Linked DNA regions of Bombyx mori. The protein of the gene in region 1 purifies or fractionates together with the protein of each later gene. This does not show direct contact. Links are inferred from orthologs where the notes say so. Each region holds a gene or a part of one and is shown in the gene's direction. Other genes may lie near its edges.

What was found.
Region 2: the proteins of DRK (region 1) and ecdysteroid-phosphate phosphatase purify together in Homo sapiens (tandem affinity purification; 3 studies listed by BioGRID and IntAct, with this or other methods). This does not show direct contact. The link is inferred for Bombyx mori from reciprocal best matches to the Homo sapiens genes GRB2 and UBASH3B.
Region 3: the proteins of DRK (region 1) and ruvB-like helicase 1 purify together in Homo sapiens (affinity purification with mass spectrometry; 3 studies listed by BioGRID and IntAct, with this or other methods). This does not show direct contact. The link is inferred for Bombyx mori from reciprocal best matches to the Homo sapiens genes GRB2 and RUVBL1.
Region 4: the proteins of DRK (region 1) and src substrate cortactin purify together in Homo sapiens (affinity purification with mass spectrometry; 3 studies listed by BioGRID and IntAct, with this or other methods). This does not show direct contact. The link is inferred for Bombyx mori from reciprocal best matches to the Homo sapiens genes GRB2 and CTTN.
Region 5: the proteins of DRK (region 1) and breast cancer anti-estrogen resistance protein 1 purify together in Homo sapiens (affinity purification with western blotting; 3 studies listed by BioGRID, with this or other methods). This does not show direct contact. The link is inferred for Bombyx mori from reciprocal best matches to the Homo sapiens genes GRB2 and BCAR1.
Region 6: the proteins of DRK (region 1) and synaptojanin-1 purify together in Homo sapiens (co-immunoprecipitation; 3 studies listed by BioGRID and IntAct, counting the BioPlex papers as one, with this or other methods). This does not show direct contact. The link is inferred for Bombyx mori from reciprocal best matches to the Homo sapiens genes GRB2 and SYNJ1.
Region 7: the proteins of DRK (region 1) and tyrosine-protein kinase receptor purify together in Homo sapiens (affinity purification with western blotting; 3 studies listed by BioGRID and IntAct, with this or other methods). This does not show direct contact. The link is inferred for Bombyx mori from reciprocal best matches to the Homo sapiens genes GRB2 and ALK.

The regions. Positions count from the first base shown.
Region 1 is NC_085123.1:5,809,534-5,813,447, reverse strand, and holds the end of DRK (DRK protein), read left to right. Parts: intron 1-2,074; coding exon 2,075-2,185; intron 2,186-3,106; coding exon 3,107-3,172; downstream 3,173-3,914. UniProt on the Homo sapiens protein: Non-enzymatic adapter protein that plays a pivotal role in precisely regulated signaling cascades from cell surface receptors to cellular responses, including signaling transduction and gene expression.
Region 2 is NC_085131.1:8,634,161-8,639,003, forward strand, and holds the start of ecdysteroid-phosphate phosphatase, read left to right. Parts: upstream 1-1,977; 5' UTR 1,978-2,037; coding exon 2,038-2,243; intron 2,244-2,402; coding exon 2,403-2,643; intron 2,644-2,834; exon of another isoform or gene 2,835-3,258; coding exon 3,259-3,454; intron 3,455-3,672; coding exon 3,673-3,762; intron 3,763-4,843. UniProt on the Homo sapiens protein: Interferes with CBL-mediated down-regulation and degradation of receptor-type tyrosine kinases. Promotes accumulation of activated target receptors, such as T-cell receptors and EGFR, on the cell surface.
Region 3 is NC_085128.1:12,885,715-12,890,529, reverse strand, and holds the start of ruvB-like helicase 1, read left to right. Parts: upstream 1-1,661; 5' UTR 1,662-2,032; coding exon 2,033-2,173; intron 2,174-2,550; coding exon 2,551-2,679; intron 2,680-3,595; coding exon 3,596-3,770; intron 3,771-4,313; coding exon 4,314-4,516; intron 4,517-4,707; coding exon 4,708-4,815. Other genes in the region: importin-13, read right to left, coding at 109-261. UniProt on the Homo sapiens protein: Possesses single-stranded DNA-stimulated ATPase and ATP-dependent DNA helicase (3' to 5') activity; hexamerization is thought to be critical for ATP hydrolysis and adjacent subunits in the ring-like structure contribute to the ATPase activity.
Region 4 is NC_085113.1:1,695,569-1,699,871, forward strand, and holds the end of src substrate cortactin, read left to right. Parts: intron 1-2,476; coding exon 2,477-2,737; 3' UTR 2,738-3,705; downstream 3,706-4,303.
Region 5 is NC_085117.1:10,875,715-10,879,773, reverse strand, and holds part of breast cancer anti-estrogen resistance protein 1, read left to right. Parts: intron 1-193; coding exon 194-334; intron 335-560; coding exon 561-701; intron 702-1,286; coding exon 1,287-1,589; intron 1,590-4,059. UniProt on the Homo sapiens protein: Docking protein which plays a central coordinating role for tyrosine kinase-based signaling related to cell adhesion. Implicated in induction of cell migration and cell branching. Involved in the BCAR3-mediated inhibition of TGFB signaling.
Region 6 is NC_085118.1:11,391,052-11,395,818, reverse strand, and holds the start of synaptojanin-1, read left to right. Parts: upstream 1-1,671; 5' UTR 1,672-2,242; coding exon 2,243-4,767. UniProt on the Homo sapiens protein: Phosphatase that acts on various phosphoinositides, including phosphatidylinositol 4-phosphate, phosphatidylinositol (4,5)-bisphosphate and phosphatidylinositol (3,4,5)-trisphosphate. Has a role in clathrin-mediated endocytosis.
Region 7 is NC_085130.1:7,715,473-7,719,531, forward strand, and holds part of tyrosine-protein kinase receptor, read left to right. Parts: intron 1-73; coding exon 74-289; intron 290-893; exon of another isoform or gene 894-1,063; coding exon 1,064-1,231; intron 1,232-1,735; coding exon 1,736-1,930; intron 1,931-3,042; coding exon 3,043-3,161; intron 3,162-4,059. UniProt on the Homo sapiens protein: Neuronal receptor tyrosine kinase that is essentially and transiently expressed in specific regions of the central and peripheral nervous systems and plays an important role in the genesis and differentiation of the nervous system.

The DNA.
Region 1 (3,914 bases):
GAGAAAATGGAATTGACTCAAGAAAATTCAAGAGCGATGATTTATTATGACTTTCGAAGTGGTTTAACACAAAAACAGTGTGTTGACCGGATGATTTCTGCATTTGGTGATGAAGCCGCATCCAAAATCACAATTTATCGCTGGTTTGCTGAGTTTCAACGTGGACGTGTCAAGTTCAGTGATGATCCCCGTCAAGGTCGTCCAAAAACTGCAGTCACCCAAGAAAACGTTGATGCTGTGCGTAAGCTGATTGAGGAAGATCGACATGTGACATACCGCGAAATTCAGGTAACTTTAGATTGGCATGAGTCAAATACAAATAATCTTGCATGAACAATTAGGTGTAAAAAAGTTGTTTTCCCGATGGATACCGCATTCGCTCTGTGAAGAGCAAAAAGCGGCTTGCGTTACTTGGTGCGTCAGAACTCTCGAAAGATTCCACGCAGGATCCTCAAATGCTGTATACAACATTGTATCAGGTGACGAATCCTGGATATACGCGTACGAACCCGAAACAAAAAACAAGTCACGAGTTTGGGTGTTCGAAAATGAGTTAAAGCCAACAAAAATTGTTCGTTCACGGAGTGTTGCAAAAAAAAATGGTGGCCACGTTTGTCTCCAAAACCGGCCATGTTACGACTATTCCTCTTAAGGGACAAAGAACGGTTAATGCAGAATGGTATGCTAGCATTTGTTTGCCACAGGTCGTTTCTGAACGCCGTAAAGAGAACTGCAACCGCCGCATCATCCTCCATCACGACAATGCGAGTTCTCACACCGCGCACAGAACAAAAGAGTTTTTAGAGCAAGAAAACATAGAATTATTAGACCATCCGTCGTACAACCCCGACCTAAGCCCTAATGATTTCTATACTTTCCCTAAAATAAAGAATAAATTGCGTGGACGGAGATTTTCATCACCTGAAGAAGCTGTGAACGCCTACAAAACGGCCATTTTGGAGACCCCAACTTCCGAATGGAATGGTTGCTTCAATGATTGGTTCCATCGTATGGAAAAATGTGTCAAATTTCGCGGAGAATACTTCGAAAAGCAATAAATACATTTTTAAATAGTAATGTTGTGTCACTTTGTTAATTCCCGAAATTTTCAGTGCCGCCCTCGTAATCACTTTTTAGATCATCAATTTCGTGAAAGACTACCCTAAAAAAAATTGAATAAAATAATCGACGAACCAGTTACTGTATCTTGAAGAGCACAATTCGAAAAGTTTAAATATATATAATATAATTAATTATCCTTATGCTGCTCCTTTTACAGCCGATATTTATTTGTCCCATTTAAAATTGCTGAATATAAAACAAAAATTTGTATAATAAATAAATAGTAGTACAGTATATTGGAGGGAATAGAGACTAGAATTAGAATAGGGACAAATCTGGCATGTCACAACAATACTTTTGTTTAGTTGTTAGATTAAACTTAGTTTTTTTATTTTTTTTTATTGCTTAGATGGGTGGACGAGCTCACAGCCCACCTGGTGTTAAGTGGTTACTGGAGCCCATAGACATCTACGACGTAAATGCGCCACCCACCTTGAGATATAAGTTCTAAGATCTCAGTATAGTTACAACGGCTGCCCCACCCTTCAAACCGAAACGCATTACTGCTTCACGGCAGAAATAGGCAGTTGAACTGAAAATGACTTTTATTTAGTGTTTAATAATATTAAATAGTTTAAATTAGTCATCAAAGTTTTGTAACTCATTAAAGATATTAAAAAGTTAATTACCTAAAGTTAAGTACCTACCTAACAACTAATAATGCCACCCCTATCAAAAAACTATTGTCCCCATACGTAAGCTGATTCACCCCAAAGTCAAAGTGAATCGGGTCAAGCTAGTTTTTTTTCAGTTTTTGTGTTTGTTTTCTAATGAACATGTATAATGATATAATCTCAATTTTATTGGTATTACCCTAAGAAAAAAACATTGAAAATTTGTGTTGGGTCCCGATTACCCCCAATCTACGGTAACAGATGTAGATGTAACCTACTATTAACAATAACGAATGAAATTGTTTCACATTTTAATTTGTAATACGATTTGATTTCAGATGTTGGTGCAGGCTCTATACGACTTCACCCCACAAGAGGCTGGCGAGTTGGAGTTTAGACGCGGTGACGTCATAACCGTGACAGATCGCTCCGACCAGCACTGGTGGCAGGTAAAGTGAAAACACATTACAATTTAAGGCCAGAGATTATTTGATTTTACTTATCGAGCCAAATTTACTGGTGGTAGGTTTTTTTTCCTACTTAGCTGAGGGGCTTAAGAGGCTATTTCAGCGTAACCTTTACTAGTAAGTGAGCTCACGGGGCTCAAACCTGACGACGTTGCTAACACGAACCCTAGCAAGAGATGTGCTTCGCAGAATCTACCGCGGATCGGAAACGCGACCCATTGACAAGATCCGGCGAGAAATTCAGTAGGCTGTGTCTGTGACGGGTGGTAGGACGTCTTCTGAATCCGTACGGGTAGGTACCACCAACCTGCCTATTTCTGCCGTGAAGCAGTAAAGCTGCTTTCAGACTACGGTATAGTGCCATATAGTTTAGCAGCCTATAGTTAGCCAATAATTTATAGTATAGTACAGTGTGAACGTGTCCATAGCAATGTATGATGTGCGATATTGTTGTGCTATGAGCTATAAACTATATGCTATTATATTGTAGCGTAGTCTGACAGCGGCTTAATGCGTTTCGGTTTGACGGGTGGGGAAGCCGTTGTAACTACTGAGACGTTAGAACTCATATCTCAAGGTGGTTAGTGGCATTTACGCCAGGTGGGCTGTGAGCTCATCCACCCATCTAAGCAATAAATAAAAAGCTAATGTATTTCAGACTCATTAGCGTAGCTTTGTTCGTTGTTACAACAGATGACGCGGGACCTTCTCAGTGGGTCGCGTTTCCGATCCGGTGGTAGATTCTGCGAAGCACGACTCTTGCTAGCGCCAGTGTTAGCAACACTTCAGGGTTGAGCCCCGCGAGCTCACCTACTAGTTCTGTGAATCTAGAATAACCCCTTGATGTTACTAGAATATGTAGGAAAAATAATAATTACAAAGCGTTGATTTCGTTTGTCGCAGGGCGAGATAGCTCACCGCCGCGGGTTGTTCCCGGCTTCGTACGTGACGGCGTACCACTCGTCATAGTGGGCGCGCGCCTCATCCCCCTCCCCCCGCCTCTCTACCGCCGCCGCCGCCCCGCGTTCCCTCACACCCGTCGGACCGGACCCAGGCACGTACGAAGGCCGCACATCGACGCCCGCTAAACAACGTCCACTGCTGTATCTAGTAAGTACATTGTATCGTATCGTTCGTCGGCCGATTCAGATATTATTATTACATCGAAATATTATTAGAAACGTGCGTTTTTTTTAAATATTAGTCATACTAAAATCGGATATGTTTGAGCTGCGAACGGGGAAAGACCGCCCGAAGTGACGGGGACGGCGCCGGTGTCCCGCCCCCCAACCCCCCGGCCCCCTCAAGAGAGATTTCGGTTTTTGTGTAATATTTCGTGAGTATTTTGGTGCTTTCGTGTACTCTACAGCGTATCGTGAAAATTATGAATAAAATTTTTTTAATGCGTATTTTGTAATAGTAATTTTGCGAGAGATTTACGTCGTCGGTCCATTGTTTTTTAATCGTGTTTTTTGAAAAGAGAGAGTAAGCTGCCTTATTTATATAATTTCTTGCATCGCAGTGTAAGAATAATTCGGTAGTACAAAAAGTTTATTGGTATTTTTGTGTCGTGTTTCGTATCGATTTTAATGTATTCGGTAACTTTTTTTTTTTTAAATCTGATTTTGACAATTTACAAAATAATAATATTAGAGTGATTTTTATATCCTCGGTAACGTGCCAGAATTATGTTATTTTGTAGTTTTTTGAA
Region 2 (4,843 bases), on another chromosome or scaffold:
ATAGCAAAAAAAATGTTTAAAAAAAATGTTACACGTCATATATAAACCTAGTGTATAATTAATTGCATTTATTATTATTATTTTTTTTGTAACATATATATTTTGTTTTTTTTTCTTGATCTCAAAGCGAAGGGTCTCGCTTTAGGTAGGATGGCCGAGCTGTAAGGTTTATGATTATTTATATTAATATGATTATATAGAGTGTAAGGTTTCTGATTATTTATATGATTATATAGAGTCCTGTACATATTAAGAATTATTATTAAATATGAGGTTTATATTGCAAACCATTAAAATATTGTTAAGTTATAAATTCAACAGTTGACAAATGTCGTCAATAGATGTCACAGGCTAACAAAATTACATCGCGGTAGCGTTGTGTGTAAAAATTTGTATAAGAAGTCCAAAGTAATTATGAATAAATCAAGAACCAAACGCATCAATGTAAAATTGGCAGATTAAAGCAAAGTGTGAACAAAGTTAGCCTGTTTAATTTATATGTCTGACACCCAAAATTTGTGTTCCCTTCCCTCGCCCTAATAACTCCTCGAAGACGATTCTTCATAGACCTGATCAGCTTTTGAATTGATTCTTGTGGGATACCTTCCCACTTCTCAATCAACGCCGATTTCAGCTCATTCAGGCATGAAGGAGCAGAAGTTCTGGAACGAACCCTATTCTTCAGTTCATCCCACACGTGCTCAATAGGATTCAAGTCAGGGCTGAGCGCAGGCCAGTCCAATGTGGCGATATAGACTTCTTCGAAGTATTCAGTTGTTCCACTGGCAGTGTGACAACGAGCGTTATCGTGCTTAAGGAGGAAGCTATCACCGGCATATCCCGCATAGGGAACGACATGTTCCAGCAGAATATTGGAAATGTATCGGTCCGAAGTTAGACCGCCTCCTCGTCCCCCGCCAGGCACGAAAACAAGCTCGGTTTTACCGTCGAAGGAAATGCCGGCCCACATCATACAAGAGCCGACCCCATAAGCCACTGTTTCAGCGAAACAGCACTGCGCAAATCGCTCCCCAGGCCGCCTGTAGACCCAACCTCTTCGGTCGCTACCATGCAAACACATCCTGCTCTCGTCGGAGAACAGGATTTGCCTCCATTGCTCAACCTCTCAATTAAGATTGGTACGAGCAAATTGAAGGCGTGCTTGTCGATGAGCTACCGTGAGTTTCGGCCCTGTGACAGGCCTTTTTGGAGTCAGATTCGCTTGCTTGAGTCGTCGAAGAACTGTCTACTTGCTAGCTGCTACCCTACGAACATCTCGGAACTCCTGTTGGACGTCGACACCAGGTTAATGCCGATTTCGGAGAGAGGTTAACACGATAAAACGGTCATTCCTCTCCGATGTGCCCCAGCGCCGTCCAGATCTTGGTCTCGAGATAAAGCTACCAGTCTCTTGAAAGCGCTTGCAAACTTTTGAAACACAGGAATGGCTTATTTGGAGCCGACGAGCGACAACCCGCTGGCTGAGCTCTTCTTGCAATAGGGCTACGATTTGTGCTACTTCTGTAGGTGTTGTCCCAATTGTCGTACAAGGTAAAGGGTCAAAAGTAGCCGAGATATGTACCGGTCAACGTGTGAAAGTCGACTGATAAAGAAAATCCGATAACAGGTGCTTTTAGAGGGGTCAATAGGCCGCAACTCGCGACGTATCAAGCAATTGAAACACGTCTTTTTCGTTATTCCTTCACTTAATCCAAGATAACTTCTTAAATACTGGTTTGATTTTAATTAATTTGGTATCAGTTTAAGGTTAAGAGCTCAACCTTTAAAATGATCTCATTTTTATGATTATCAAAAAAATATGTAGTACACAAGATCGCGCGGAACCAATTTCAAGTAAGTGATTCCAAACTTTTGCTCGCGAGTGTAGTTGAAAGGATGGTTGTTGGTATCATAAAATTATCATAAAATCTAAATATCCATGATCATAGATTATACACTTAATATTCGAGATCCATGATTGTCAAATGACATTCTGATAAATGTCAATGTTCAGTCTTAACAAACCTAAACTGTCAAATGTCAAAAAGTTCAATTCTCATTTTCTCTGTTTTGATGCCGGTTCTGATAACGACTAATATTATAAGAAATATTTTATGTAAATGCTTATTTCTGGGGAAAATGGCTAATTTGCCTCCACGAAAAGTTACTTCAGCTAGCAAATCAAAACAAGATGCTTCTCCACTGCAAATACTTTTGCAAATGGGTTTTAGAAGGCAAAGAGCGTAAGTTTGTAGCGACACTTTGTCTATATTATGTGGTAATAAATGTAGTAGTAGTATCTAGTTTGGAACCACAATAAATTGTACAAGCAAATTTAAAGAAATCAAAACTTAATTGGGCCACAGTAAATATAATACTACAATATAATTTAAATTGCTTAGGTTGAAAGCTTTAGCAGCAACTGGTAACCGCAGTGTTCAACTCGCCTCTGACTGGCTATTGACACACGTTAGTGACTCGAATATAGATGCTGATGATCCTCGCGAGTATATCTTCTATGCCAGTCCTACAGGACCTTTACTCTCACAACTCCTAGAATTCTGGGATAAGTCTAAGGCAACGTGTGGTTGGAATGGAGCTCATAATTTTTTACCTCACATCACTTTAGTATCTTTTTTCAAGGTAATAAAAAATATATCATACATTCCTGTTGATTCCTCTATCAATTTATGCATAGTCCCTGTAAACAAACATTTATAAATAATGTAAGCCTCATTTTATTTTTTGTCAGATCTTTGAATTGTTTAGGTTTATTTTAATTTACTATATTTTGCCACCAACAATTTATTTACAATTTAAGCTATGGTTTTTAGAGTTAAATGGAAACTGGGCTATAGGTATTATTTCAGATAATAGATATGTCAATCCTCATCCCCACTTCCAGATATAAGATATGAGTTACATTTGTAACAATGGCTATTTTAATTCTGCAGCTAATTTTAAAATTTAGTCAGGTTCTACAAAAATTGGATATTAATTTTATACACATTAAATATATAGATAAATTGATCCAAAAAAGAAGACACCACAACCATCAATGGTCATTGTTTTTGGAAATGCTTCGCTTATGCCTTGTACATACATATATGCAAAGTAATTATTATTTATTACAAATAATTATAAAGAATGGATGGATATAGAACTGATGTGATTGATAAATGTTTATTATTAACATATCTTATGAAATAATAGTACATATCTAAACAAATAATCGCAACAGTAAAAAAATATCCATAGGCACCCGATGATACATCTCTTAATTTAGCAAAAGCAGTTCGGCAAGTTGTCGAGAATGTGGGTGACCCACCTAAATGCACTCTTAAGCTCGAACCCTATGTATCACACAACTTTATGGGCTTGTTTATCTCTGAAGAACATGCTGAGTATTTGAAAAAAATTGCAGTGCAATATGTCAAGCAAGTGTCTTCAGTTTGTAAGTATATCTATAAAAGAAGAAATCAATCTAAGAAAAAATATTGTAGATTCTCACTATTTTAATGTAAACTTTATAGTTAAATATCTATTACCATTATTAGAAACAGCATGTACTGGTTATTTCTAGAAATTAGGTACTGTTGACTTATTTGACCCTAATCTGATTATGAAGAAAATAGTCTTTATTTATTTGACATTATGTCTGTGTTACTTCAGTGGGTGTAATGGTGGACACATATGAACATTTGGATGCATTAGGAACATGCTTTCCGTGGTGTGCAATGGCACAAGAAAAGAATCTTAAATGTAAGAGTGGATATTCTAACAGCTTGCTTTGATGTAATAACATTTTTGTGACTATTTTTATTCTAAATACAAAGCAGTAGTTTCTTGACTTGACTATACTAAATATATTAATGTTTTCGTGGCTTAATCGGTAAAGTGTATACATATACTGATACTAAGATTTGCATGTATGTACCTAACGAACAACTTCCATGATGAAGGAAATCAAAATAATAATATGCGTAATGAAACTGAATTAAGTTTGAGTAATAACTAGTTGGACACTGGACTCTGAGACCACTCTGAAAGATACTTTCATGTTGTCTATTGCTTCCTCAGAAGTGTTCATGATTTTCAGTTTTAAGGGTGAGGTATTCTCTGTACTTTTTTTTTTGTTTATTGCCTTACAGGCAGATGAGCACACGGCTCACCTGATGGTGAGTGGTTACCGTTGCTCATGGACGTCAGCAATGCCAGGGGTAGAGCCAAGCCGCTGCCTACCGTTTAATACTCTCCACAAGCCTTGTTTAAAGAAGGACATGTCATAGCGCTCGGGAAACACCATGGAGGGGAGTTCATTTCATAGCCGGATGGTACGTGGCAAAAAAGATCTCTGGAAACGCACTGTGGATGAATGTAGTGGCACCACGTAGTATGGATGAACTTTACTCCGGTGGCGGGAGGTTCGATGGTAAAAACGAGATGTTGGTATCATCTCGAACAATTCCTCTGAGCACTCCCCATGGAACATACGGTACAAAATACAGAGGAAACTGAAGTCCCTCCGCAGACCCAGAGGTTCCAATCGATCCGTAAGAATGGGATTATCAACAATCCGAACGGCTCTTTTCTGTATGGAATCAAATGGAAGTAGCTGGTATTTGGGAGCCCCGGCCCAGAAATGGGAGCAGTACTCTACGCGATGCCGGACCTGTGCTTTGTAAAGCAAAAGTCTTTGTCCAGGCGTGAAGTACCGCTTCGCTCTGTTGAGGACTCCCAGCATTTTTGACGCCAACTTGGCTTTGCCCTCCAAATGACTCCGAAATTGGACATCGCTCGAAATGTCGAGCCCAAGTATCCCAATATTCTTGGAAGGTTGTAG
Region 3 (4,815 bases), on another chromosome or scaffold:
ATTAAAATTGATAACTAGTGTTGGATTAGAAGTAACGAGAAGTAATGAATTCCTTATAATATGTAGAATAATATATTAATTAGTTTTAATTAATTTTAAGATACGAACTTTAGTTGGCTGAAGAAGATCCCATACAAAATTCCAGGCTTCGGGAACTCTCTGAGCCGTTGTGAGCCACGCATGTGCGTTGGCCCTTTCGGTTTGTTCTCCGTTATAGAATACAGAAACGGCGTATTCCAAATTCTGCACAGTATACTCCATTTCAAATTAGATTCTCCAGTGAATCTAATGCTATATATATACCGGAAAAAAGGCCTGATTTTACTTGAACTAATAAGTTTAGACCTAATTCATCTATCTCACTGTTTTAAAACTATCTTTAAGTTAGATTTTTGTGTCTTAATCAATACACAATATTGTCTGGATTGATTAATTTATCTTTCCGATTTTACATTTCTGTAATTTTGTCAATTTTTGGCATTTACCTACCGGATTATGTGAAATTTGACTTTACTAAATGTCAAACGAACCCAACCACTGTTTTTTTTTTTGCCTACTTATGCTGGTAGCTTCAAGGGGCTATAGTTATACCTATCAGCTTCAACGGGTGAGTAGGCGAGCTTACGGGGCTCAGCCTGACGAATTGGTGTATACTAGCCCAAGCAAAAACAGTGCTTCGCTGAATCTACCGCCGGACCGGAATCAACGACTACTATAATTCTGCATAAAATATATTATAAGATTTGTCGGCGATACGTTAGGATTTTTACAGGTAAAAATAGTAGAACGAAAATGTAACACAAAATTCTATAAAATGTTAGCATTGCGTGAATATTACTTATATACATCTATACCGATATCATAAAGAGGAAAGATTTGATTGTTTGTTTGTATTGAATAGGCTCCGAAACTACTGAACCGATTTGATGATAGAATAAAACCGAAAACTATTTATGATAGAATAAAATAATGTACTACGACTTTGTAGAACACATTAATATTTACAGTGTTTTTGCAGTATAACTATTATAGTTATGCCACAGTAAGTGTTCTTTTATTTAAAAAAATAAAACTACGTCAATTATCGTTTACAGAGAAGCTCTGACTTAATAAACTTAATGGCTTTTGTTTTGTATGTATTACATTATCTTTTTACGAAAATTAGAAATATAATAATAAAAAAAGAGATAAAAAATCATATAGAATTTTTTTTTTAATTAAAATAATAGTATTCAAACTATATTTATAGATAATTTTCTTTTTTTAGTAACTCAGGGCAAATAGAAGAGTAGATGACGTGTGTGTGCTATAATTTTTTAATTTTGAAATTTTTGTTAATTTTCAAATGATTATGCAAAGTTTTCGCTGCATTCGTGGTTTTCCAAGCTGTGTCGGTTTTTTAACAGACATGAAACCGCGCGAACCGCGATCCTTCGCGTAGTCTCCCACACATTCGTGTGACCAGTTGCGCCCAGGATAGCGAAGGCAACGGACGTTTCGCTATTTTCATAGATCGTGACGTCCAGGTACTGTGTAGCGTATCTTAATCAAAAGAAATCCCATAAAAACAGCATGGCTGTTAATGATGTCTGGGAAAGAATTCAAAACTCTTTTTCTCTTCAATATTCTATTGACGAATTAAAAAGGAGGAGAAATTCGTGAGACATTCGTAAACAAGTGTAGGAGGAAGCGCAAACGGGTTCGCAAATTGAGTACCGAACCCATTTGCACAGCCGCTAAGTTTGCGAATGAATGTTTGACGGCCCTTCACATGCGCGCAAACATTCGTACAATGTACGAATATTTGCGCGCATGTGAGTGGCCGGCATTATGTGCTGTAGTCTGTAAGAAGCGTATACCTAATCTATGGTCTGTAGCATAGATTATAAACTTAATATATTGTCTGTACAGTGTAGTTTGTATAATGTATGGTGTAGTTTAAAAAGTAAGTTTGCTCAAGTTTGCTGTTGGAGTACTAAAAAGAAAATACAAAGTAACGTCTACTGTTTAAAAGAGTAAAGCTGCTTTCAACATGAAAATTGAAGAAGTGAAAAGCACAGCTAAAACGCAAAGGATCTCTGCTCACAGTCATATAAAAGGCTTGGGGTTGGATGAAAATGGTGTTCCTATTCAAATGGCAGCCGGTCTCGTGGGTCAAGAGTCTGCACGTGAGGTATACAATAAAATTTCCAAAAAAATTGCCGATAAATTTACACTCGAAATTGTATAAGTTTTATTAGATCAACCTCGTAGAGCAGAAGTTCGAGAAAAATAATTTGAGGTTATCAATGTTTGGTTGCTATGGAATTATTGATCAATGGTAATTGGAGGCAATATGACAATATACATAACAAAATGTTGAATTGTAGGATTAGGTAGTTTAGTAATAGTAATTCAATGTAATCTTAAGCAACCTAACACATTTAATACAATCTAATTTTTATTTATCATTTACTGTCCAATGACCACAAAATTACAGGTATTTTTATTGCATCTATACAAATACATTTTTTTTTGTAAACTATTTTTTATTAATTTTAAAAATTGTAGGCTGCAGGGATAGTTGTAGATATGATAAGAAGTAAGAAAATGGCCGGGCGAGCTTTACTCTTGGCAGGGCCTCCTGGTACTGGCAAAACTGCTATAGCTCTTGCCATCGCTCAGGAACTTGGAACTAAGGTAAGTTCTTACTTAAGTCTGACAATATAAACTTGGGCTGTCACCTTCTTATTTTCATATCTAAAATGAGTGTTTTTTTATTATTATTTTTATTGCTTAGATGTGTGGACGAGCTCACAGCCCACCGGGTGTTAAGTGGTTACTGGAGCCCATAGACATCTACAACGTAAATGCGCCACACACCTAAAGTTCTATGGTCTCAGTATAGTTACAACGGCTGCCCCACCCTTCAAACCAAAACGCATTACTGCTTCACGGCAAAAATAGGCGGGGTGGTGGTACCTACCCGTGCGGACTCACAAAAGGACCTACCACCAGTAATTACGCAAATTATAATTTTGCGGGTTTGATTTTTATTACACAATGTTATTCCTTCATCGTGGAAGTCAATCGTGAACATTTGTTAATTACGTATTTCATTAGAAAAATTGGTACCCGCCTGCGTGATTCGAACACCGGTGCATCGCTAGATACGAATGCACCGGACGTCTTATCCTTTAGGCCACGACGACTTCTCTTTAAAAGTCTTTTTATTGACAATCTCAATGGCATCGGTTTAGAGCATACTGACCATAGTGTGACTGACCATGTGTTAACATTTTACTGACCGATTATGGTGGAAGCAGCCACTTAAGACTTCCTATTCGCACACTTTTTAGATAGAGGTTAGGAAACAGCTACTAAGAAAATAGTAAATTCCAGTGAACAAGAACTGTTGAAAGAATGATTAATAGGCTCCTATTAATATACATTGGCATTAGAAAATTAATGAATATGCTAAACAGTACATTACATATAATAAACTTATCATAGTTTCCTCAGTGTCCTTAGCTAGAAGTATATGAATAGAAATATCATCATCATCAATTTGTCATAAAACAAGCATAAAAACATTTGAAAATGTTCATCATTACAGGTTCCTTTCTGTCCAATGGTTGGTAGTGAAGTTTACAGCACAGAGATCAAGAAAACAGAGGTATTAATGGAGAATTTTCGACGTGCTATAGGCCTGCGTATACGTGAAACCAAAGAAGTATATGAGGGTGAAGTAACTGAGTTAACACCTGTTGAAACAGAAAATCCTGCTGGAGGTAACTATAGCAAAATTATTCTTTTATTCTTTTATATATTAATATGGACTTAAGAGGGTCTGAATTAAATGTTTTTTTTTTTTTTTTTTTTATATTGATATAAGAAGGTCTAAGGGTCTAAATAGGGTCTCTAGATAGCTAAAGCCAAAGTGGATATAATCTACTATGATTGAACTTAAAATGAAATTAATTGACAGATATTGGCTATAGTCAGTTTGTATTTTAAGAACAGCAATTTAAATTGAAGGTTGGGAGTCCGTTGCACATTCAGTAAAATGATAAGTTTGTCTAAACCTTAACTACAACTACTCTTAGCACAGTTTGTAGGCAGTGGGTTGGCTTTCCCCTTGACATGAAGCTTTGAAATTGGTCAAAAATTTGATACCAAAGTTCATAATATTAGTTTTGATTTTTTGTGTGGATCTATCATGCAATGAATAATCTTGCTTCAATTACTGTAAAATTTTGACTTGACTTGCTCTGACTTGATTCTTTGGCTTATATCTGCTTTACCTAATATTTTTGATATCTTCTTTTTTTAAGGCTATGGAAAAACAGTATCTCATGTGATCATAGGACTAAAAACGGCCAAGGGTACCAAACAACTTAAACTTGATCCAACTATATATGAATCGTTACAAAAGGAAAAGGTTGAAGTTGGGGATGTCATTTACATTGAAGCTAATTCGGGGGCAGTGAAGAGACAGGGTAGGAGTGATACTTTTGCTACTGAATTTGACCTTGAGGTATGTACATGGTGCATTTAAATTTAGTTGTAGTGGTACTTACTAGAATCATTTAATACCAAATCAACAATCAATCAATCAAATTGAATCAATCAATCTCCTCCAAACTTTTCGTAATTCTACTTCTGACTCATACAATCAATTCTTAATCCCCTCTTTGGATGATAATCAACTTTGAACTTGTTTCCTAGGCTGAAGAATATGTTCCGCTACCCAAAGGTGATGTACACAAAAAGAAAGAAGTTGTACAAGATGTAACCTTACACGATTTGGATTGTGCTAATGCAAGACCGCAGGGA
Region 4 (4,303 bases), on another chromosome or scaffold:
CATCGAGATCGAGCTTCAGCCTTTGTTTTAACTATGCCCATGTGTGAGGTATGCAACTCTGTTAAAATACGGTGACGCAAACTTCCTGGTATCACCACTTTATGACCCCTCATAACGCAACCATTTTCAACGGACAGTTGCAATCTACATAAGTAGTAAGGCTTAACTTCTGCGTTAATAATTTTTTTAGGCCATCCGTTTTGAATATATTTGATGACTTCACGTAATATGCTATCATTGCTGGTTGCGTTACGTAATTCAGTCACCGATATCGGGAGTGCGCCTTGCACTACGAAGCAAACATAAGAGGCGCTGTCGAACGCATCGACATCGACCGCTCCCGCTCCGCGCCTGGTCCCCCCGCCTCGACCACCGCACGCGCCCGCGCCGGCCGGTAGACTCGCACGAGACAGATAGTCCGCACTATTATCTGCACTCTTCACGTACTCGATTACATAATTATAACCACTAAGAAAAATTGCATATCTTTGAAGTCTGTTTGCCGAGACTTCTGGGATGCCTCGTTGTGGGCCAAATATTGAGAGCAGCGGTTTGTGGTCCGTCCTTAGTATAAATGGATTTGACCTGCCGTACAAATATTGATGAAATCGACGAACACCAAATATAATCGCGGTTGCTTCCTTTTGGATTTGTGAGTACCTTTTCTCGGCGTCGTTGAGCGTGCGCGAAGCGAAAGAGATAGGTTTTTCCTGGCCATCGGAACTCACCTGTGATAGAATAGCACCTAATCCATTGGGCGACGCGTCTACAGTGAGAATTATATTTGCATTAGGATTAAAATGGGCCAATACATTATCGGATGCTAACATTTTTTTTATTTCATTAAACGCCTTATCATGTAACTTAGACCAACGCCACTTTGTTTCTTTTTTTAAAAGTTCGTATAATGGTCCGAGAATACAAGATGCATTCGGTACAAAATTCCTATAATAATTTACTAAGCCTAAGAAAGATCGTAGTTGACTAACATTCGTAGGCGCCGGTGCCTTTAATATTGCTTTTATTTTATCGGGTGATTTCCTTAGCCCCTCTTTATTAATGGTAGACCCTAAATAATTAATTTCATCTTGAAAGAACTGACATTTAGACTTTTGTAGAACAAATCCTGCGTCTTGCAACCGTTGTAGGACCTGATGCAATCTCTCAAGATGTTCAGAGTCATTGCGACCCGTTATGAGCACATCGTCCAATAAACACAGCGTGCCGTCCAGGCCCGCTAGCACTGTATCCATGGCTCGCTGGAAAATTGATGGCCCACTAGCTAACCCGAACACCAAACGCGTATACGCGAAGATCCCTTTATGCGTATTGATACAAGTTAACTTTTGGGATTCTTCATCCAGACAAAACTGACCGTAGGCCATAGACAAATCTAATTTAGTAAATTTCTGGCCCCCGTATAGTTTAGAAAACAACTCGTTTACGGTAGGCAACGGATACTGTTCTACAACTAATTGCTTGTTTATAGTAACAGAGTAGTCCGCGCAGATACGGACCGAACCGTCACGTTTCAGTACCGGGACTATTGGTGACGCGTAGTCGGAATGCTCGACTGGTCGGAGTACTCCCAGTCCCACCAAACGGTTTATCTCTTTTTCCACTTTTTCACGCAGAGCAAATGCGACCGGCCGTGGTTTAAAAAATATAGGATGAGCACTTTCTTTTAATTTCAAATTAACTTTATATTTGTTGAATTTACCTAACTTGTCCGAGAACACGGCGGGATATTGTTCCTGTATTAATTTCAACGTGTCACGGGTAGTGGCACATTTATATACGGGCGCTAGCTGCAGTTCAAATTGTGCGATGAAGTCGCGGCCCAGTAAAGGTGGTCCGCCATCGCGCACCACGTACACGTCGAGCTGGCGCGTGCGACCCCGCAAATTGGGTTTTGACCTGACGCAATATATCATCATCAGCTCCTCCTACCCGCGGGCGCCGTGAGGTCCATTGTAAAATGGGTAGCAACAACTGCCTCTCAACTTAAAGTAGTAAAAAAGTCGTCGTGGCCTAAAGGATAAGACGTCCGGTGCATTCGTATCTAGCGATGCACCGGTGTTCGAATCCCGCAGGTGGGTACCAATTTTTCTAATGAAATACGTACTCAACAAATGTTCACGATTGACTACCACGGTGAAGGAATAACATCGTGTAATAAAAATCAAACTCGTAAAAATTATACTTTGCCTTATAACACGAGTCCGCGCGGGTAGGTACTACCGCCTCGCCTATTTCTGCCGTGAAGCAGTAATGCGTTTCGGTTTGAAGGGCGGGGCAGCCATTGTAACTATACTGAGACCCTTAGAACTCATGTCTCAAGGTAGGTGTCACCATGTAGATGTCTATGGGATCCGATAACCACTTAACACCAAGTAGGATGGCAACAAAAAAATCTGCTTGTACTGCTTATGAACATTGTGGTAATCGTTGTGAGATAATGACTTGCATTTTACAGATGAACCGCCAGCCCACCATTGTGGTGTCTCCGGTGGGGTGGGAGGGGGAGGACGAGGGCGGCGACGAGGAGGACGGCTACACCGCGAGGGCGCTGTACGACTACCAGGCCGCCGCGCCCGACGAGATATCTTTCGATCCTGATGACGTCATCACCAACATCGTCATGGTAACACGCGGTCACACCACCCTGCTCAGATTGAAGGGGGCGAGGGGGGACCGTTATGTAATAAATTCGAAACCTCATAAATATAATGCTTAGCGTCGGAACGGTACTTCAATAAGGCTATGCGTCATAATACCCTCTTATGGTTGCCGCCTCTGACTTCTCCCCGAATCCTGATCATGCAGGAGCAAGTCACCTTCGACACCCTACGAGGGCGGCACTGAAAATTTCGGGAATTAACGAAGTGACCCAACATTACTATTTAAAAATATATTTATTGCTTTTCGAAGTATTCTCCGCGAAATTTGACACATTTTTCCTTACGATGGAACCAATCATTGAAGCAACCATTCCATTCGGAAGTTGGGGTCTCCAAAATGGCCGTTTTGTAGGCGTGAACGAATAATTTATGTTGGCTTTAACTCATTTTCGAGCACCCAAACTCGTGACTGGTTTTTTGTTTCGGGTTCGTACGCGTATATCCAGGATTCGTCACCTGATACAATGTTGTATACAGCATTTGAGGATCCTGCGTGAAATCTTTCGAGAGTTCTGACGCACCAAGTAACGCGAGCCGCTTTTTGCTCTTCACAGAGCGAATGCGGTATCCATCGGGAAAACAAATTTTTTACACCTAATTGTTCATGCAAGATTATTTGTATTTGACTCATGCCAATGTCTAAAGTTGCCTGAATTTCGCGGTATGTTACATGTCGATCTTCCCCAATCAGCTTACGCACAGCGTCAAGGTTTTCTTGGGTGACTGCAGTTTTTGGACGACCTTGACGGGGATCATCACTGAGCTTGACACGTCCACGTTGAAACTCAGCAAACCAGCGATAAATTGTGGTTTTGGATGGGGCTTCATCACCAAATGCAGAAATCATCCGGTCAACACACTGTTTTTGTGTTAAACCACTTCGAAAGTCATAATAAATCATCGCTCTTGAATTTTCTCGAGTCAATTCCATTTTCTCAACGACTAAACAAGTTTGACAAAACCTCGTGACAAGACCGAGAATCTTTTTTTAAATAAATAAATGGTATTCGATTTTTAAAACCAAGGAGTTTTCAATTAAAAAGATTTTAATATGACAGGAACAGTGGAAATATTCCATTCCCGATACTTTTAGTGCAGCCTAGTAGACACGTCCTTATGGATGTATCAGATCCAATAACCTTTACATTAGACGCCTTCAGCTCTAATACTAGAAGCAGGCTTAGGGACCCCGGTAACCGTACTCGTCGAACTTGCCAAAGAGGTCGACGTGCAACCTAACCCATACATCAGCCCGCTGAGTTTCTCGTCGAATCTTCTCAGTGCGGAATCTAGTAGTCATTCGCGAAGCAATTACTCTTGAGTTGTTGGGTCTCCTTTGGAGGCGCTCGGGCAGTTGTTAGCAAATTCCACCCCTCCTGGCTGAGCCCTTGCTCGCCCACCTGTCCTGGTAAAACTGAAAAGGCCTCCGAGCCATCAGTAATCTCTCAAACATAAAAAAAATGTTTTAATAAATTACCATTTTAAACCAAATAATGTAACATAATGGAAGACATGAGTGGATAAAGGGGTTAAGTACATTTTTTAAGATTTTTGAGTTTTTACATTGAATGAAGGTGTTATGTGCCTATAAACCATATTAGACCTTAAAACTCTGGATTTAA
Region 5 (4,059 bases), on another chromosome or scaffold:
TTTCTTGATTGATCATTATGATATTGGCATGTGGTATTTTCCGAAGATTATCTTCTTGAGTTATTAAGTCCTTATCGCGGATTAACAAATCACAAATTTGTTTAAAGTAGCTATAGCTATAGCATTAATATCTAATTAAGGAACTCTAAGACCCTTCCTTTGTTTCTGAAAGAATTTAATTGTTATATTGCAGTGTATGGCGCGTGCTTTGTATGATAACATTGCGGAGTCTCCGGACGAGCTAGCTTTTCGAAGAGGCGACCTGCTCACCGTGCTGGAGCAGAACACCGGTGGCAGCGAGGGCTGGTGGCTGTGCTCGCTTAGAGGAAGACAGGTATTTTTATTTCAAATATTCGAAAATTATTCAATATAGATTTTCATTGGTCATTATTGCATAGATTTCATGACCGTCCGCTATTGTTTGTCGAGAAACCGTACTATCGTTATGATTCATAACCTAAAGCACGAAACAATTAAATCTCACGTAGGCACGAATGAGTAATTATTGTTTTGTTGATAGCTGTAGTGTAAGGTCGTAATTTGTGACGTGTATTTTTCAGGGAATATGTCCGGGCAATCGGCTGCGGATAGTGGCGGGCGTGTTCGACTCCAGTGGAGCGACGCAGAGGCGGCGAACGAGGCCGCCTGCGCCCGTAGCCCACCAGCCACTTCCCACACAACAATCTCCCGCGTTTACCAAAGTAAGTTTTTAGGTATTTAATAATTTGGTAAATAAAGTATTGTTTACAAGTCCAATCTTATAATATATTAAACAAATGTATTTCTTTCATTGATCCATAGAGCGCTTACACTCGCACCTTCGTTACTTAAAGTAGACCCATGAACCCGATCTGAGTGCTGTCACTTCATCCGCGCTAATTAGTAGTTAGGTACTTAGTATTTCCAGACAAAACGCGATTTTTTGTTTGTTACCCTTTTGCATTCACTTTAAACCTTTATAGTTGATTCCTATCTCTTAGATAGGTACATCACGTTCGTATCGTGAAACTCATTTTGGTTTTTGTTTCTGAACGCTCTCCTATGGGATCCAGGTGGACCATAAACAATACAATTTGAAGGTACACGAAAAAGGGAAGATCTTCCACCGGGCGGATGATATTCCTCGGTAGACGGACGGTCCAAATGTTGTTCGGAACTTGTATATATGCAAACTTATCCTGAAAATGTCCTAAGCGAGATTCATCTGTTTATTTAATGTTTTGTATGATGGCTGCCCGCTACACAATCGTCTGTACAGATCGATTTAACACAAATTCAAATTTCAGATAGAGGAATGTTCACACTATGACGTGCCCCGAGCGCCGATGCCCGTGCAACGCATCGCGACGTACGATTGCCCGCGACCTCTCGGCGACTGGTACGACGCGCCTCGCGCCCCGCGCCCCGCCAGTGCGGACTCCGCTTGCAGTGGGACCGGATCCTTAGCTTCGGCCACATCGAGTGCGTCCGCGAACTCTGCCAACTCTGGAAGCTCGGCGCACTCCGCTTCGAGCACTTACGATGTTCCTCGGACACGTGCTCTTCCTTTGCCTTGTGACGCCGCATTGGAAGCATTAGAACGATTGCAGGTGCAAAAATTTTCTATTTTAGTATTATTTTGACGATTTATGAGGTTATAACTCAAATTATTCTTTTAGATGATGATTTGTGGTTTTGTTTATTATTCATATACCATATTTGTGAGTCATTTATCCTTTTGAATTACAAATTTGTGCAAACTCAATTGTTATGTTAAAATATAATAATATTATTAGCCTAGATGGGCAGAGCGGCTCACGATTCGCCTGGTAATAAATGCTTACTACCATAAACATTTTGTTTATATAGTAAGCATATATTGACCATATATAAGCTGGCATTTTCCAGCATCCAGCGTGAGACATGAGGTCAAAGTTTTAATTGGATTAAGCTTCGATTCCGATTCCACCTCTTGCAGCCTTAACGTTGCAACAATTATTACAATATTTAATGTTATTTACTATTTCATCATCATCATCACAAACGTTCATACTGAATTTTACCATTTAGGCCAGCTAATATTGGTTCTGATTGCACCACTTTTAAAATCGAACAACACAATACGACAATAACATAAGCCGCCATTATAAGACTTAGGTACTTTATAATCTGTACCGTAAAATGGGGCGATTAGGGACAAATTCCAACTTTATGAGCAATTTTAAGGTAGTTGTTGATGTATATAATGCTATATCAGGATCAAAATGGTTGAGTCTTGGGAGCATCTTTGTTGTCTAATTTAAAATTTTGCAACTAGCATTCCAGTTTAAGCAAAAAATGCAAAAATAGGTGTAATCCCTATTTACCCGAAAATTGCGGTTAATTGGGACGAAATGAGAAATTTGCTAGGGTTGGCACTACTTTTATTTTTATATATAGTTTTAATTTATTTACTTATTTAGTTGCACCAACAAAGTGATCATCAATAAAAAAAATTGAAAACTGACAAAAGTACATGGCAGACATCACCTCAATTATAGGTGCAATCGACAGTGCATTAACAACAACAAAAAAAAAAATATATATATATATTTATTTATACATATATAGTGGGCTTTCTTAGAAACGGTTTATATTTCTCCGTTCTTGGTAAGTACTTAGGGGCTGATATTTCTATCTGGGTTAAGAGATTAGGTGTGTCGGGTATTCCATGGATTAATCAGATGAATACCCCCACTCTGAACAAATATTAAATATTTTATTATGTATTACTTAGACATTTTTGTCCACCTTGAGATTTCATTGATCTTGTTACATGTCTCTGCAAAATCGACTTACTTATATTAAATTGCTTATCTATTTCAACTAAAGACTTATTCCCAATTTCGCTTCGAATAAACCAGATTTTTACCAACAAATTTAAAAATTATTTTATAACTACATAGACAACCCTACAAACCTGTACCTATTTATACTTAGGTCGTTTCCATTTCACGTATTCTCATCCCAATTGACCCCTTTTTCGTTGTTATTTATACCTAAGACGTCCCCAATATCCCCAATAACAACAGATTTTTACATGTATTTTTATTTAATCAAATACATTAAAACCAATAACAACTGAGACTTACCTTTAATATATATGCTGGTTCAAACACTAAATAACGTTTATAAATCATAGTCGTCTTCTATTATTATCAAATAAATAAAAGAGAGCAAAGTTTCTAGCACTAAAATAATTACCACCACAGGAAGTTAATTTGAAACGCGATTTTTTATAAGTTAGCAGCTATTATCATGAATATTCAGAGTTGTTTTGTGAACTTTCAACATTCTACTATTAAACTACAAAAAATGGAAGATTTTGCAACGAATATAAAACTTATATTGAGCGTCGAAAGATTTTCCCGGTTTTTTCCCGATTCGCCTCTCAACCCCTAATCGCCCCATTTTACCGGTATTTAAAATCACTAGTACCGTAAAATGGGGCGATTAGGGACAAATTCCAACTTTATGAGCAATTTTAAGGTAGTTGTTGATGTATATAATGCTATATCAGGATCAAAATGATTGAGTCTTGGGGTCATCTTTGTTGTCTAATTTAAAATTATGCAACTAGCATTCCAGTTTAAGCAAAAAATGCAAAAATAGGTGTAATCCCTATTTACCCGAAAATTGCGGTTAATTGGGACGAAATGAGAAATTTGCTAGGGTTGGCACTACTTTTATTTTTATATATAGTTTTAATTAATTTATTTATTTAATTGCACCAACAAAGTGATCATCAATAAAAAAAATTGAAAAACTGACAAAAGTACATGGCAGACATCACCTCAATTATAGGTGCAATCGACAGTGCTGATATTTCTATCTGGGTTAAGAGATTAGGTGTGTCGGTTATTCCATGGATTAATCAGATGAATACCCCCACTCTGAACAAATATTAAATATTTTATTATGTATTACTTAGACATTTTTGTCCACCTTGAGATTTCATTGATCTTGTTACATGTCTCTGCAAAATCAACTTACCTATATTAAATTGCTTATCTATTTCAAATAAAGACTTATTCCCGATTT
Region 6 (4,767 bases), on another chromosome or scaffold:
AAACTGGAACCAAGGCCACCGGTAATCCCTCAATCAATAAAAAAGGTACGTATTTTGTATTAGACACATTTTTTCCGTTCTTCTAAATTATTCCAACAGCATAAAACGAATAAAAGTCATTGACATGTCACCAAAGTATTGATTTATTATTTTGACCTTGTTTACGATTCAAAATTGGCGTATTTAATTTTGTAAGTAAATACGCCTTAAAAGACTAAAACTGGCCGCATAAATACGCTTAACCTAATGATATTATTTAAGTGCATTATTTTTGTACGAGTAATTAATGACGCACTATAAAATCACTAGAATGTAGGCAATGAAATAAATTAAAAAAATCTTTAGAAATTCATTTTGGTATCTATAATCCATTTTGTTAAATTGTGTTTAAAATCTTTAATTAGGTAGGTACCAGATGGTGGGTGTCACTGAATAGTAGATACGTAGTAATCAGAGCGTGGTTTTAAGCGATATAGGTAGGTACTTAAAAAATTCGATCATCGACTTTTTGGCGGGAACGCGAGGAGCGAAGTTGTTGAATTAATTTATTTTATCTATTTAGTGTTTCTTTAGATTTAAATGAGTAATTACGGTGGTTTATTTACTGTTTAGTATCTGTGAAAGTGCAAAAATGTGGTAAAATTAAACAAAGCAGTTGGACGTAGCTTCTCGGGATTCTCCAAAAAGTCTCAGTAAATTACCACCATTTTATTGAGATTATATTTCATCCCATATCTCATCTCATTTCATGCCATGTTTCATTTTAATAAATTTCATTTCACTTCCTAATGCCGTATCGTCTCATTGCTTCGACGATGTGGTGTTGTGTTCCAATCGTTACATAAATCAACATTAAATTATTAGAAGAAAAAAAACGCGGGAAACATTGGAATTTGGCGGACGCTGTTTTTGTGCTGAATTTGCTTTTCCTTCGTTTTTTATTATTCATAAACTTTACAGCTTAAAGGTTTTAATTAAAACGGGCGAATTATAAAAATCTTATTACTTGACGCTGGCTAACGCACAAACTGTACCAGAGCCAAAAAATAAAGAAGAAGATGAAGAAGTCGATCATCGAAAAGCAGACAAGTAATGTATTATACCTGGGTAGTCTTTGAATGAAAGTAGGTACCGTACTAATAGTATCTATTGAAAAGTAACCTCATACCAAAAAGAGTTTCAAATTTAATTTAGATAGAGTAAACGTTAAGTTGATTTCCGCCTGTTACATAACACTTGTCTTTAAATAAAGTGAGTGTACCAATCGTTAGTGTAATACTTTTATTGTTGGGTAGGTCTCGTTAACGTACTAACCGCAACGTTAACGGCGAAAATGCAAATCAAAACAGTGTTGTCATGAAATTAATGTTCGTTATTATAAGTCGTGCTAAGAGGATGGTAATAATGCATAGATAGATGTAAACATTTCATATATATGAAGCTTAATATTCCAGAAAACAATGGGTATGGGAATAAGAATATTATATAAATTTTTAAATATACCATGCTAGAAATTCATTTTTGTAACAGTTGTGTATTTTCAATGATATTTTTTCAATTATAAAATGACATCCATTTTTAATCTTATTTTCTTGTAACATGTGGTCCAAGACTCAATTGTACCGTAAATCAATATAGAACGGATTGCTGGTGTGCTGCCATAGTAATAGAGTAATAGATAAAGGTCGATGGGTTTTAACTCAGCAAGCTCAAAAATGTCCCAACACCAGTAGGTAATTACGCAATTCACAAGTTTAACGGATTTGATTTTTATTTTCCAATGCAATTCTTTTCTCGTTGAAATCGTTATGGAACTCGACTTAGATATTTTCTAATAACTGATAAATAACTAACTAACCCGCAAGACTCAGGCGTGTTTTGAACTCCTGCTTAGTCGCAGCACTCGATACAAATAAAGCGTCTTACCATTGTTTTAAAGCTATGTACGTTTACAATAAGAAAGCTTCCTGATTTCCTGATTTAAAAAGCTATTCCAAAAAGCATACGTAAAACTTGAAAAGTGTTAAGCGCTTGTCAATTTTAAGCCGTTTGTCACACCACTAGTAGCATAGATTAAATTGGATAAGCACTATTCACTATTCTATGGGTGGATTGATTTGATTGAATTCATTCTGTCCACCAAGTCGAAGATTGGTCTCGGTTATTCTCATATAAATTTATAATTGTTATTTGACTTATCTTAAAAGCTAATGGCGTGATAATCGCCAAATAGAAACTAAACATGGCTATGTCCAAAGGCTTTAAAGTTCTGGAGAAATCATCGCCCCCCAGTCCGTATAGCATAATATTACAACACAGAAACAAAGACACTGCACTTCTTTTCGAATCTCAAGCCGTTGTTTCCTTATCATCGCAAGAAACAGAAACTTTAAGGAAACAATACCATAAAGTTGCAGACGCTTATGGATGTCTTGGAGTACTTCAGCTAAATTCTGGTGAAAGCTGTCTTCTGTATCTTGTGTTAATCACCGGATGCTCTTCTGTTGGTAAAGTGGGGGATTTAGAAGTATTTAAGATAACGCAAACTCAATTTCTGCCACTGTTCTACCAATCGCAAGGTGATGATAAGGTTTCGGAAGTCCGAAAATTAATTAATTCAGGTACATTTTATTTCTCTTGGTATTCTGGCAAAAACAATGATAATCTTTTTGATTTGACTCTGTGTGCCCAAAGAAAAAGTAAAGGAGCCAACCCTGATAATAGGTTCTTTTGGAATAGAACACTGTACATACATCTAATCAGATATGGCATAGATTGTGATGAGTGGCTAACTCGAGCAATGTGTGGATCTGTAGAAATACGCACTATTTATGTTGGGCATCGTCAAGCTAGGGCTGTACTTGTCTCAAGACTTAGTTGTGAAAGGGCTGGAACTAGATTTAATGTGCGAGGTTGTAATGATGATGGAAATGTGGCAAACTTTGTAGAAACTGAACAAGCTGTTTACATTGATGATTCTGTAGCATCTTATATACAAACAAGAGGGTCTGTGCCATTGTTTTGGGAACAACCTGGAATACAAGTTGGCTCACACAAAGTAAAAATGTCAAGAGGCTATGATGCATCAACAAGTGCTTGTGAGAGACATTTTGCCCAGTTAAAGCGTAATTATGGATCTGTAATAGTTGTAAATCTGCTTGGATCTAACATGATTGGGGGTAGTGAAGGTGAGGCAACATTAAGTAATGCTTTCCAGAAACACATTAATGAATCTCCACATTCTGATGTCCTACAAATTGTTTTTGACTATCATCAGGAAGTAAGAGCAACATCCCAAGAGATAGCTCTATCAAAATTTAAACAGAATATTGAGAAATATTATGATGAGATTGGGATTTTTAGTGCAAAAGGGTCAGACATTTATAATATTCAAAAGGGAGTTATAAGGACCAATTGCTTGGATTGCTTAGATAGAACAAATTCTATTCAGACATTTATTGGTTTAGAAATGCTTGCTGTTCAATTAATGCTACTACAATGTCTTGATAAAAAACAAAATGTTAATAGATTTGAAGAAGTTTACAAACAGATGTGGGTGAATAATGGAAATGAAATATCTAAAATTTATGCTGGAACTGGTGCAATTCAAGGAGGCTCCAAACTAATTGATGGAGCTCGATCTGCTGCCAGGACTATCCAGAACAATTTATTAGACAACTCAAAGCAAGAAGCAATTGATATTTTATTACTTGGTTCAACATTAAACTCTGAACTGGCAGACCGCACAAGAATACTGTTGCCATCTAACATACTACACACTTCTACAGCTATCTTGAGGGAAATGTGTCGTAGAACGAATGAATTCACTCAACCTTCAACTCTTAGAATAACTATTGGCACATACAATGTGAATGGTGGTAAACATTTCAGAAGTCTTGCTTATAAGGATGTTTCATTATCTGACTGGTTATTAGATTGTCCAAATTCATCTTTGGTAAATACAGTCAATCTGAAGGATCATCCTTCTGACATATTTGCAATAGGCTTTGAAGAAATAGTTGATTTAAATGCTAGTAATATTATGGCAGCTAGTACTGATAATGCAAAAGCATGGAGTGAGGAACTGGAAAAAGTGTTAGGCAGAGATGCATCTTATACACTTCTGTCTAGTCATCAACTTGTTGGAGTATGTTTATTCATATTTGTTAGAAAAGATTTAATACCGCATATCAGAGATGTAGCACTTGATTCAGTTAAGACTGGACTTGGAGGGGCTACTGGGAATAAAGGTGCTGTGGGAATAAGAATGGTAATTTATGGAACCTCACTATGTTTTGTTTGTGCACATTTTGCTGCTGGTCAATCACAAGTTACAGAGCGTAATGCTGATTACACAGAAATTACTAGAAAAATTGCATTTCCCATGGGTCGCTCTCTGTACTCCCATGACTATGTATTTTGGTGTGGTGATTTTAATTATCGTATAGATTTAGATAAAGATGAAGTACGCCTTTTGGCTTCACAAAATAATTTGCAAAGGCTTTTGGAGCAAGATCAACTTTTACAGCAAAAGTCACAAGATTTAGTTTTCAAAAACTGCTTTGAAGGAGAAATTACATTTCCTCCAACTTATAAATATGATCTATTTAGTGATGATTATGATACCAGTGAAAAATGCAGAGCACCAGCATGGACTGACCGTGTATTGTGGAGAAGCAGAAAATATACTATTGATCCTGAAACCACATCAGAATTATCAGCAGGGAAACTTCTACACTATGGAAGGGCAGAATTGAAACAAAGTGA
Region 7 (4,059 bases), on another chromosome or scaffold:
CTTACCCGCGCGGACTCACAAGAGGTCCTACCACCAGTAAGAAACATATTGGAAAATCGTCCTATTTCCCTAGAGCATTAGGCCAGGGCGCCTTCGGCGAAGTCTACCAGGGCCTGTACCGGCACCGCTCGGCCGACGCCGCGGAGATGCCGGTCGCGGTCAAGACCCTTCCCGAGCTGTCCACCGGCCAGGCCGAGTCCGACTTCCTGATGGAGGCCGCCATCATGGCCAAGTTCAACCACGCCAACATAGTCCACCTCATCGGCGTTTGCTTCGATCGACACCCGAGGTATTTCCGTCCGTTGGAACAGGATTATAGATTACACTTAGGTTCGTCAATAAGAACTGAATAAAAAAAAAGAGGATCTGACAACAAACAGACGTACCTAACTGTTTCGTCTTTGGCTATTTATACAGGGTGACTTGTAATTCGACGTATTCCTTTTGGGATGTGATAATACATCTAATTTCCAACAAAATTAACCCTAATGTCCCTAATACCAAAGTGTCTCGTTATCGAGATATTCAATATTTTTCGTTTTGTTTTTAAAAAAATCCTGAAATAACTGCAAAAAAAAAACATTAAATAAAATGCTAGTGTTTTGAATTAAGTTGTTTGAATTTTTATCAGTTACCAATACATCAACTAGCATTTATTAATACTAATACTGGAACGAATTTTAAACATTTTAAAATAGCAAGTGATTTCTTATAAAATTTTGTTTTGATTCTCTAATTTAGTCGATAGAAAACTGGATTTATTTTGAAAAAAACAACTAAACATTTAAGCGTACAAACTACTAGAAAAAAACTTCCTTGTTTTATTAGCTATTTAAAAACATGAAATTATTTACAAAAAAGGAAAGATTCTCCCAAAAAAATGAATAACATGATGATAGGTAAAGTGTATCTTTTATTAATCAATTTTGCGACATATTTTACAAATCTTGTTCAAAGTGACCTCCCTTACGGTAAATACATGCCCGCACACGCTTCCTTATCTCTGTCACTGTCACTCTTGAAGTGAAAGACCTATATTTCTTGTCATATACGCCGTTCCCAGGTTCATTGTGCTAGAATTGCTGGCCGGCGGCGATCTGAAGAACTTCCTTCGCGAGAGTCGCCCCAAGCCGGAGCGGGCCAGCGCCCTCACCATGAAGGACCTGCTTCTCTGCTCGGTGGACGTCTGCAAGGGATGCCGGTACTTGGAAACTAAGAGATTCATACACAGGTAAGTTGATATAAGGACGATTACGACAAGGTCTTTTGTCTATCACGATTTTTTATTTATTGCTTAGTTGCGTGGATGAGCTCACAGCCCACCTGGTGTTGTTGAGTGGTTACTGGAGCCCATAGACATCTACAACGTAAATGCGCCACCCATCTTGAAGTATAAGTTCTAAGGTCTCAGTATAGTTACTACGGCTACCCCACGCTTCAAACCGAAACGCATTACTGCTTCACGGCAGAAATAGGAGGGGTGGTGGTACCTACCCGCGCGGACTCACAAGAGGTCCTACCATAAGTAATTACGCAAATTATAATTTTGCGGGTTTGATTTTTATTACACGATGTTATTCCTTCACCATGGAAGTCAATCGTGTACATTTGTTGAGTACGTATTTCATTAGAAAAATTGGTACCGGCCTGCGGGATTCGAACACCGGTGCATCGCTACATACGAATGTACCGGACGTCTTATCCTTTAGGCCACGACGACTTTTAAACTTCCCAGGGACATAGCGGCGAGGAACTGTCTGCTGACGTCCCGGGGCCCGGGCCGCGTGGTCAAGATAGCGGACTTCGGTATGGCTCGAGACATATACCGCGCCGACTACTACAAGAAGGGCGGGAAGGCCATGCTGCCCATCAAGTGGATGCCACCCGAAGCTTACATTGACGGAGTCTTCACCACTAAGACGGACGTCTGGTAAGGTTTTTTTTTTATTGCTTAGACGGGTGGACGAGCTCAAAGCCCACCTGATGTTAAGTGGTTACTGGAGCCCATAGAAATCTACAACGTAAATGCACCAACCACCTTGAGATATAAGTTATAGTTATATATAGAGTGGAGGGAACTCCCCTGTCTTTTCCTTTTATACTCTACACCATTCAAATCTGACATTAATACATATCGTAAAAAGGCGAACAACGAAAACTCACCTTTTGAGCACATATTAAAGTAGAAACACAAACCATTCATATATAAATAACACAAGCAATAGTACCAATAATAATTTATAATTTGGTAAAAAAAATATGAAAATAAGCCATTAGCACCAATGATAGATACTGCGAAGTACTTGGCCAAGCCTTTCTTTGAGTCAAGTTTGGATTTACGGTTGGACACACGGATTACCTTAAAACAAATAGTAGTTAATTTGATGTTAGATAAAGCATAGAATGAAAGATGTATGTATGACGCCAATCTGTATCGCGCAAGCAGCCTCTGTGAGATAGGTGCGCATGTGCAAGTTGAAATCTTGCCCGAATCTAGACCTTCACTCCTGGAACATCCTTCCTCAGTATTATTTTCCAAAACCCTCATTAATATTCATTACTAGCTGGCCCGCCAGACTTTGTAGTGCCTCAATCGATAAATCAAAAGACCTAAACTTTTGTGTAAAATAAACTTAAAACAAACAAAAGGAATCCGTCCGACGGGGGACACATCAAAGGGAAAACAAAATTATTATTTTTATTTAATTCCGAGCATTTTCACGAGTTTTAGCGAGACTAGCGAAAAGCAATTCATTTTTAGATATATAAAAGATATAGCCAATACGCTGGGTGGTGCTCTGGAATATCGCCTTCCAATAAATGCCGCAGATGCCGTAAGGCAACTTAGGGATTTACCGAAGAATGGGCATCAGCGATCTCTTGCAGTATTGTAAGTCCCCACGCATAGGTACTACTGTCCTGCCTAGTTCTGCCACGAAGTAGTCACGTGTTTTAAGCCGCGGGCTGGGTCCCTCTTCGATAATTAAAAAAAACTATACGTCTTTTTGATCACCAATTTCTAAACGAATATACAATCCTTAGGTCATTCGGCGTGCTGCTATGGGAGGTATTTTCGTTAGGCGTGATGCCGTACACCGGATGCGCCAACCGGGAGGTCATGGAGCTGGTCTCTGGTGGAGGAAGACTGGAGAAACCGTACGGTGAGGGATCTGAATATCACAAATTTAAGCGTCGTACTCCGATACCTGGGCACTATATTTAATACCGGCATGATTAGCCCTTTACGCGCACCCCGGATATGCATCAGCGCTGGGCATCTCGCCCTCCTCGCCTTCCTAGCCCCAACCTCACACAACTACCCTCCAGATCGACATATAACCAGTCGCTGGTCGCATACTATCTATGATTTTTTTTATTGCTTAAATGAGTGGACGAGTTCACAGCCCTGACGTTAAGTGATTACTGGAGCCCATAGACATCTACAATGTAAATGCGCCATCCACCTAGAGATATAAGTTCTAAGGTCTCAGTATAGTTACAACAGCTGCCCCACCCTTCAAACCGAAACGCATTACTGCTTCACGGTAATAATAGGCAGGGCGGTGGCGATGATATTATGAAATGAAATAAAGTTGATTAATATGAAACATGGCATGATATAATCTCAATAAAATGGTGGTCATTTACCGAGACTTTTTCAGTGGACTTTCTGGAGGATCCCGAGAAGTTACGTTTAGCGGCTTTGTTTGATTTTCCCACATTTGTGCACTTTCACAGATATTAAACAGTTAATAAACCACCGTTATTACACATTTAAACCTGAAGAAACACTAAATAGACAAAATAAAACAAATCATACAACTTCACTCCTCGCGTTCCCGCCGTTCCCGAGATTTAATCGTAATGCGGAGTTTACATTACGAAATTAGTGTCATGCACGTTGAACTCAGTTGCACGAAAGTAGTTTCGATACATGCGAAAGTAATTTCGTTAAAAAATTAGTGTCGTGAATCCCACAGTATCGCAGTAACCATGGCGCCGCCAGCATCAAAGCTATATTTTGCTATATTCAATGTAGCTAAAGAAATGCTTATATAA